Oryzias latipes: one gene and its partner. The protein of the gene in region 1 purifies or fractionates together with the protein of each later gene. This does not show direct contact. Links are inferred from orthologs where the notes say so. Each region holds a gene or a part of one and is shown on either strand. Other genes may lie near its edges. The genes, in order: dystrobrevin beta and utrn.

The links.
Region 2: the proteins of dystrobrevin beta (region 1) and utrn purify together in Homo sapiens (affinity purification with mass spectrometry; 3 studies listed by BioGRID and IntAct, with this or other methods). This does not show direct contact. The link is inferred for Oryzias latipes from reciprocal best matches to the Homo sapiens genes DTNB and UTRN.

What each region holds. Positions count from the first base shown.
Region 1 is NC_019880.2:107,502-111,320, reverse strand, and holds part of dystrobrevin beta, read left to right. Parts: intron 1-2,908; 5' UTR 2,909-3,035; intron 3,036-3,524; 5' UTR 3,525-3,525; coding exon 3,526-3,592; intron 3,593-3,654; coding exon 3,655-3,735; intron 3,736-3,798; coding exon 3,799-3,819.
Region 2 is NC_019882.2:8,810,549-8,814,367, reverse strand, and holds part of utrn (utrophin), read left to right. Parts: intron 1-43; coding exon 44-187; intron 188-596; coding exon 597-734; intron 735-814; coding exon 815-907; intron 908-1,051; coding exon 1,052-1,222; intron 1,223-1,329; coding exon 1,330-1,502; intron 1,503-2,176; coding exon 2,177-2,327; intron 2,328-3,036; coding exon 3,037-3,212; intron 3,213-3,819.

The DNA of each region.
Region 1 (3,819 bases):
CCAGAGGTCATGTGACCAGCAGGTCCCTGAGGTCATGTGACCAGCAGGTCCCTGAGCTCATGTGACCAGCAGGTCCCTGAGGTCATGTGACCAGCAGGTCCCAGAGGTCATGTGACCAGCAGGTCCCTGAGGTCATGTGACCAGCAGGTCCCTGAGGTCATGTGACCAGCAGGTCCCAGAGGTCATGTGACCAGCAGGTCCCTGAGGTCATGTGACCAGCAGGTCCCAGAGGTCATGTGACCAGCAGGTCCCAGAGGTCATGTGACCAGCAGGTCCCAGAGGTCATGTGACCAGCAGGTCCCTGAGCTCATGTGACCAGCAGGTCCCTGAGGTCATGTGACCAGCAGGTCCCAGAGGTCATGTGACCAGCAGGTCCCAGAGGTCATGTGACCAGCAGGTCCCTGAGGTCATGTGACCAGCAGGTCCCAGAGGTCATGTGACCAGCAGGTCCCTGAGGTCATGTGACCAGCAGGTCCCTGAGCTCATGTGACCAGCAGGTCCCTGAGGTCATGTGACCAGCAGGTCCCAGAGGTCATGTGACCAGCAGGTCCCTGAGGTCATGTGACCAGCAGGTCCCTGAGGTCATGTGACCAGCAGGTCCCAGAGGTCATGTGACCAGCAGGTCCCTGAGCTCATGTGACCAGCAGGTCCCTGAGGTCATGTGACCAGCAGGTCCCAGAGGTCATGTGACCAGCAGGTCCCAGAGGTCATGTGACCAGCAGGTCCCTGAGCTCATGTGACCAGCAGGTCCCAGAGGTCATGTGACCAGCAGGTCCCAGAGGTCATGTGACCAGCAGGTCCCTGAGGTCATGTGACCAGCAGGTCCCTGAGGTCATGTGACCAGCAGGTCCCTGAGGTCATGTGACCAGGGTCTGCTGGCTGTTCCAGACTAAAGGTGACAGTCTTTGCAGCAGTGGCTCCATCCTCTGGAACTCCCTTCCTCTCAGCCTCAGATCTGCTGACTCAGTGTTTTCTGTAAAAAATAGATAAAACGTCTTTTTAAAATTGGTTTTTCATTCTTTGTATATTCTGTGTTTTACTGCGAAGCACTTTGTGATTTCTATCTTATACAAATAAAGTTTAGTATTATTATTCTACCTCCTTCTAACCTTCATTCTCCCCCCCTCATGACCACCTTCCTCATCCTTTGTCCATTTGTCTTCATCACTTTTCTTGTTGTGGCGTGTTTCCACATGGCTGGTAACTCCATATCGTTACAGGGTTTGTCCTTTAATCCCTTCACTACCGGAACTGGTAGCTGCCAATCAATACACAGCTTTGGGGGCGTGGCCAGCTACATCACTATGTTCAAAAACCATCAGCTGATTGGTGCATTTTATGTTTGGCTCAAAAGTGATTTAATAAACGCTGGAAATAGCTACAGGTAAAAACGGGCATTCTTCTTCTCCTCACAAGGGGCTGAACATGCAGCTTTAGGGGGCCCTAGGACCCCCCCCCCCATTGGGGCCCCAGGCAATTGCCTAGTTGGCCTGTTTGAAGAAACGGGCCTGGATTTACACACATTTCCATTTCTCCACATATAGGATTTTGTTCTGGTTTGACCGATGCGACGGCTTCTGTAAGACCACATGGACTCCCTCCGTGTTCCAGAATTGTACTTTCTAGATAACCTTTCTAGATAACCTTTCTAGGTCGACAAACTCCACAACAAATCTTAGACACTTTTGGAGAAAGGCCTCACAGCAGGAAATGCACACTGCAAACTTTTACAGAGGAAACCACCAAAGATTCAACGTTTTCTATTTTTTCATGGTTTTCTATGTCAAAATGTTACCTTGAAGGTTTCTTCTGTGTGGAATCTGCTCCTCACCTCCATTTCTCCTGAGCTCCTCCCCCCTCTATGACCCAGCCGCCGTGCCCCCCCCCCTGTCCATCATCAGTGATCGGTGACGGTTTAGCCCGAGCGTCCTGCTGGATGATGATGCCACAGTGTGCGATAGATGTCAGACATTTGGTCCAGGGGGGGCCCCATCCTCTGCTTCTTCTCTCCCGGGGCCTTAGTATTATGGTCTGCTCTATTTGGGATCTTTGGAAATGTGCCTCAGTGATGAAGGATTTAGAAATTAAAAGTGGGCCTTTAGTGAATTCTTCTCATTTTCTTTCATTTGCTTGGGTTAAAAACTCAAATTGTAACGATCATCTATTTCTTTTAGTGCTCATTCTTCTTTAAATTGATATATTTACACAACAGATTTGACTCTTTTGTCTTTTATGTAACACAAGAAAACCAAAACAACAGAAAAACCCAAATAGTATATTAATCCTCAGCCAGTCGTTTTCTTTAAATGTCCCGTTAATGTCTGTGCTGGAGCGTCTTCCTCTCAGAGTCCACAGTCACTCCCACTCCCGACACGTAGGCATCATCCACAAAGAAACCAAATCCAAACGTCGACAGGAATCCTCTCACCCACCAGTCGATTGTCCAGACGAGTCCAAACAGAAACAGATGCGTTAGATGCGCCTCTTTTTTCTTTTCTCTCGTAGACTCCCTGAAGTTTTCCCCGTCTCCACAGGATGCGCCCCCTCCCTCTTGCTTTGGTCCCCCCTTTATCAAATCAGTCACATGACCTACTGCTGACGTGTCCTTAATACAAAAAGATAACAACACATATTTTCTGAATGACATGTTTCTTTTGAGGAAATAGTCTTTACAATATTATGGGAAACTGGTGATTTTCACACAGAATTCATCATAATCTCAATTCTTTAATCAAATACTTTTGTGGCTACAAAATGACTGAAAACGTTGGCGCTTGGGGCCAACATTTCACCTGTTCTACCCCACATGAGACCTGCTGGCAGCATTTTGTCAGCGGCACGTGGAGGATGAAGATTCCCTCAAAGGAATCGATCGTTCTCTGGTTTCTTTGGGTTTTCTCCTCTGCAGGTTCTGGACCGGCCTTCCCACGGAAACCTTTGGAACCGGTGCTAGGAACTTCTAGAACATGACGTTCCCATCTTCAGGGCGGATATCAGTGAGGAGGAAATACTTCTGAAGAACCTGAACCCTGCAGGTGTGTTTACACCAGAGGAACTTCAAAATAAAAGCTTTTTCATGCTAGTCACATTTCAAGATGCAGTTGTGTTGTTCTGTTGTAGTTGTGTTCTACTCGGGTTGGAGTTCTGTGACTGTAGCAGTTTTCTGTCTGTTGTATTTAAAGTTGTGTATTCGTTTGTCTAATCTTTGCAGTTCATTGTGTGTTGTTTTAGTGATTTGTTTCTGTTATGTTGCAGGGTTCGGTTTCTGTTGGTGTAGTTGTGTGTCTGTTCAATCATAGTTCCTTGTGTGTTGCAAATGTATATGTTATCTCACGATTACGTTGTCCGTGTTGTAGTACTTTGTTGTGTCATAGGTGTGTTTAGATGTTGTCTCATCCTTGCATTTTTTGTATTGTGTCATAGTTGCTTTGTGGGTGTTGTGTCACAGTTGTGTTGTGTGTGTGTTGCAGTACTTTGTTGTGTCACAGTTGTGTCGTGTCATCCTTGCGTTGTTTGCGTTGCAGGATGATCGAGGAGGGCAGCCGGCGGTCTAAGGCGGCGGTGGAGAAGCGTCAGCTCTTCATGGAAATGAGTGCGTTGTTGTTGCAGATGGACGTCGTTTGTCGTTCTTCTTTAACCGATTCTTTGTTTCAGGAGCCCAGAACTTCGATGTGATCCGACTCTCCACCTACAGGACGGCGTGCAAACTCCGTTTCGTGCAGAAGAGATGCAACCGTAAGAGCCGCTGTTCTGGTCCGTTCGCCGTGTTCTGAGCAGGAAGTGACGCTTTTCTCCTAGTTCATCTGGTGGATGTGTGGA
Region 2 (3,819 bases), on another chromosome or scaffold:
CTAATAAGCCTTTACAAATATATTTTTATCTTCTTTTCTCAAGGTTGGACAGGAGACCCGTGCAGAAAGACCCCAGCTTCCTAAAACTGTGGTCCGAACTGAAATAAAGGAGCTTCGGGCAGAGCTTCAGGACACTCTGCAGACTCTGCAGCAGCAGGACACAGTAAACCTGCAGGATGATGAGAAGGTTTTTACTTTCTTCCAATGTTTGCCTGGACTTTAAACGGAAGCAAAGAATGTTTGACTTGGGTGTTTCCTTTTTCTTTTGTGGTTTTATTAGATTTGACTAAAGTTTATACAGTAAAAGCTGCTATCTGATAAGACTATTCCTATAGTAAATGTTTAAAGATTAGAGTTTATTCAAAGTTTATGTGATAAAAAAATTATAGTTTAACACATAAAAACGTTGAGTGACCCAAAGGGAGGTCATTGCACCTCCCAAACCGCATTTCTTATCTAAAATGTGTGAATTTATATCCTCAGTGATTTGGATATTTGCAGATTTGAACAGATTTCTCCTTTTTAATGTTTTTAACAGACGGGCTTCAAATAGCTTTATTGAAAAAACTAAACCCGGCTTTTTCCTCTTCCTTCAGATGGATGCAGAGAAAGCCAACATGGAAGAACTGCTAAGAAGAGGAGAAGAACTGCTGCAGCAAACCTCAGAAGAAGACGAGAGGGAGGAGCTGCGGGTGATGCTGCTCCGGCTGCAGAGCCAATATTCTGCTCACAGGGTGAGACTCAGTTGTTTTCTCAAGTAACAATGCCTGTTAAGGACAAGCCTAAAGAAAACGGAGTTGTGTTTGGGCTTTAGGAGCTGATGATGCGGCGTTTCGTTGAGATGAAAGGGCCTTTAGAGGCGCCATCTTCTCACTTTGAGGAGAGAACATCAGAGCTGTCAGCTCAGGTGAGGGACTAAACAAGTATTTACTTAGGATGGTTTGGGTCTTTCTGAGAGGGATTTGGTCAAATATTTTTGGTGGTTTTGCAGGTGCAGATTCTTTTCACAGTATTTTGGACGTCAAGAACTTTTCTTCTTGTTTTGATGCAGGAGATGTCAGCATCAGGGCTCAGCAGCTCGCCGTCTCTGACTCCCTCAGACTACCTGTTGGAGATCAATAAAGTCCTCCTTGCTATGGCGGACAATGAGTTGCTCCTGAACTCCTCTGAGCTGAGCGGGGGCCTTTATGAAGACTTTTCCAGCCAGGAGGACACACTCCAGGTGCAACAAACACAAGCTGCTAAAACACACCTTATTCTAAAGATGTCACATAAATGTAGAATTTGCATGAACTTTTGTCGAGTGACTTTCGTTTGCTCGTCTTTTAGATTATCCAGGAGAGTCTGGAGAATCTGGGCGATAAGGTCACGGGGATCCACGAGCGGCACCCCGACGTCATCCAGGAAGCTTCTCATGCTGAAGCCGCACAGATCGGGGACGCTCTGGCACAGCTTGACGCAGAGTGGGATAGACTCAACCGCATGTACAATCATCGCAAAGGGTACCTGGACATAATTCATATGCAGACGCAATAATGGGAGATTTGGTGCAGATTCGAACTTGGATCGATGTTTTACAGAAAAAGGAAAAAAAAACAGTTTCCACTTTTATTAACTTGACAAATACTAGATATTCTGCACAATGAATAACATATGTTGAAAATGATATTTTTTATTTTCTTTCATTTTTTGCATTAATTTTTAAATTATTTCTTTCTATATTTTTTAGTGTGCAATCAAGATTTCTTTCATGGTAATGGTAAAGGAAAAACGGATAAAACAGACCATAAAAAGAAATGGAAGCATAGAAAAGTTAATCATACATTTCTTCCCCATTTTTTTCTTTTATAAGTCACTAGATATTACAATATTATAAATGTCATTTGTTTATTTTGTTTGAAACAAACATCAAAGGGCTCCTATTTATGCAGGTTAACATGAATAAAGATGTACAATCTTTTTTTTTTTTCTGGCATTCAAACCAAATAAAAATATAAAATGCAAAAACAAAACTTTATCAATGTCCCTTTAAATATAGAATTGTAAATGCCACAACCATTAATATACCGTTCATTTTATAAAGTCCTGAAATTATCTTTTTTTTTAATTTAAACTTAACAGTTAATACTTTTAGTCTAATCTGGATGAAATGTTAGTTATCTATGTTGTTTTGCAGGAGCTTTGACCGAGCTGTAGAGGAGTGGGAACAGTTTCACTGCGACTTAAAGGAGCTTTCTCAGTGGCTGACGGATGCAGAGACGCTTCTGTCTGAGGGCATGGGCGCCGATGGACCGCCGGACCTGAAATCTGCCCGGCAACAGCAAGCGGTCAGTACTTTCTGGTGCAGCGTTTGGATTTAAATGTATGCATTTTACTGGTTATTGGGATGCAGATTTTTTCCACATTTGTCTTGATAAATTCTTACTTATTGAAAGCATTTCTCTGCAAAGTGAAAACTTTAAGGTATGGGTAGATCCAGACCATGATTGCTTGTCATTTTCTGGGGAGAAATAAATGGGCCCTGTGCTGTACCTCATAAACACTCAACACATAAAGCGATCGATTAGAGAGCGCAAAAATGATGAGCAGTGCGGGGAGAGATCAGAAGGGACTTTTTAATTTAGTTTTGTTTGATTGCTAAAGTGGCATTTTGATTGCTGTGGGAAGTTCAAATCGGTGAAGCTGCTGCATCATCGCTGACCTCCTCCATCAGTGTGATTTGCGATGCTCTCCTAACCGCAGTACTCGCACAGGGTTTCACGGCTACTAAGAAGCAGTCGACGGATCAGAGTCGAGGGGAATTGAGGGATCTATTAGCTGACTCACGGTGTGTGGGACTCCACAATCATTCACCTTAACGCATCTGTTCTGGCTCACTAAATCTCTCAAAGTGGAAGGTAGCAGTTTGGAATCCTAAATATCGGCTGCGTGCAAATTATGTTGAGGTGTAAATAAGAAATGTGCTTGGAGAGATTTGAATTAGAGAGGAAAAATGATTAATTTGGTGTAATTTATTCTTTCTGCCTTCCATGTTAGGAGTTGGAGGAAGGCCTTGCCAGCCATCAGGCGGTTCTTTCTGGACTGAACCGCACCGGGAAGCAGATAATTGGAAAGCTTTCATCTCCTGATGGATCGCTGCTTGAAGACAAGTTAGAAACTCTGGGTCAGCGGTGGAGAGCAGTGCAGCAACAATTCTCAGACAGGCAGCGCAGGTAAGCATGGAAAAACAAAATCATAAATCATAAAATAGAACAATAAAGTCCTGCGATAAAAGTTAATTAAACAGCTGTTTATGTAGAAATAAATCAACGCTGCATAGGGGTAAACGATGGGTGTAAAACTTTATATTTTATTTGAATTATGTGAATTTAATTAAATACACAAAAGGTATTTTTTTGCAGATGATACTGATTTGCATGGCTTTGGAAGAAAACTTTTTGTGTGCATTTTAGCTAAATGTAATATATAAGTTGGCCTAAATTTCTCCTTATATTCCCCAAATAATTCAGAAAAAGGAAATATTTAAAACTGGTTTAGGTTGAAATCAGATTGAAAACATGCAAGCGATTGAGAATGTGGCCCTTGTAATTCATCATAAATAGCCCATTTGGAAATAATAAAGGAAATAAAAAAGAAAGACAATTACAATTTTGTAACAATAGTAAAGGCCCACTCTAATAAAAATTGTGTTTTTGGTGTTTTTAACGTGTTTTTGTGGCATTTTTATGATGATTGAGAATATATCTGCAGAAACTCAGTCCTGGAAAATGACATATTTTTTTATTTTGGCTCAAAACGCCATAATTATAATTAAAAGAT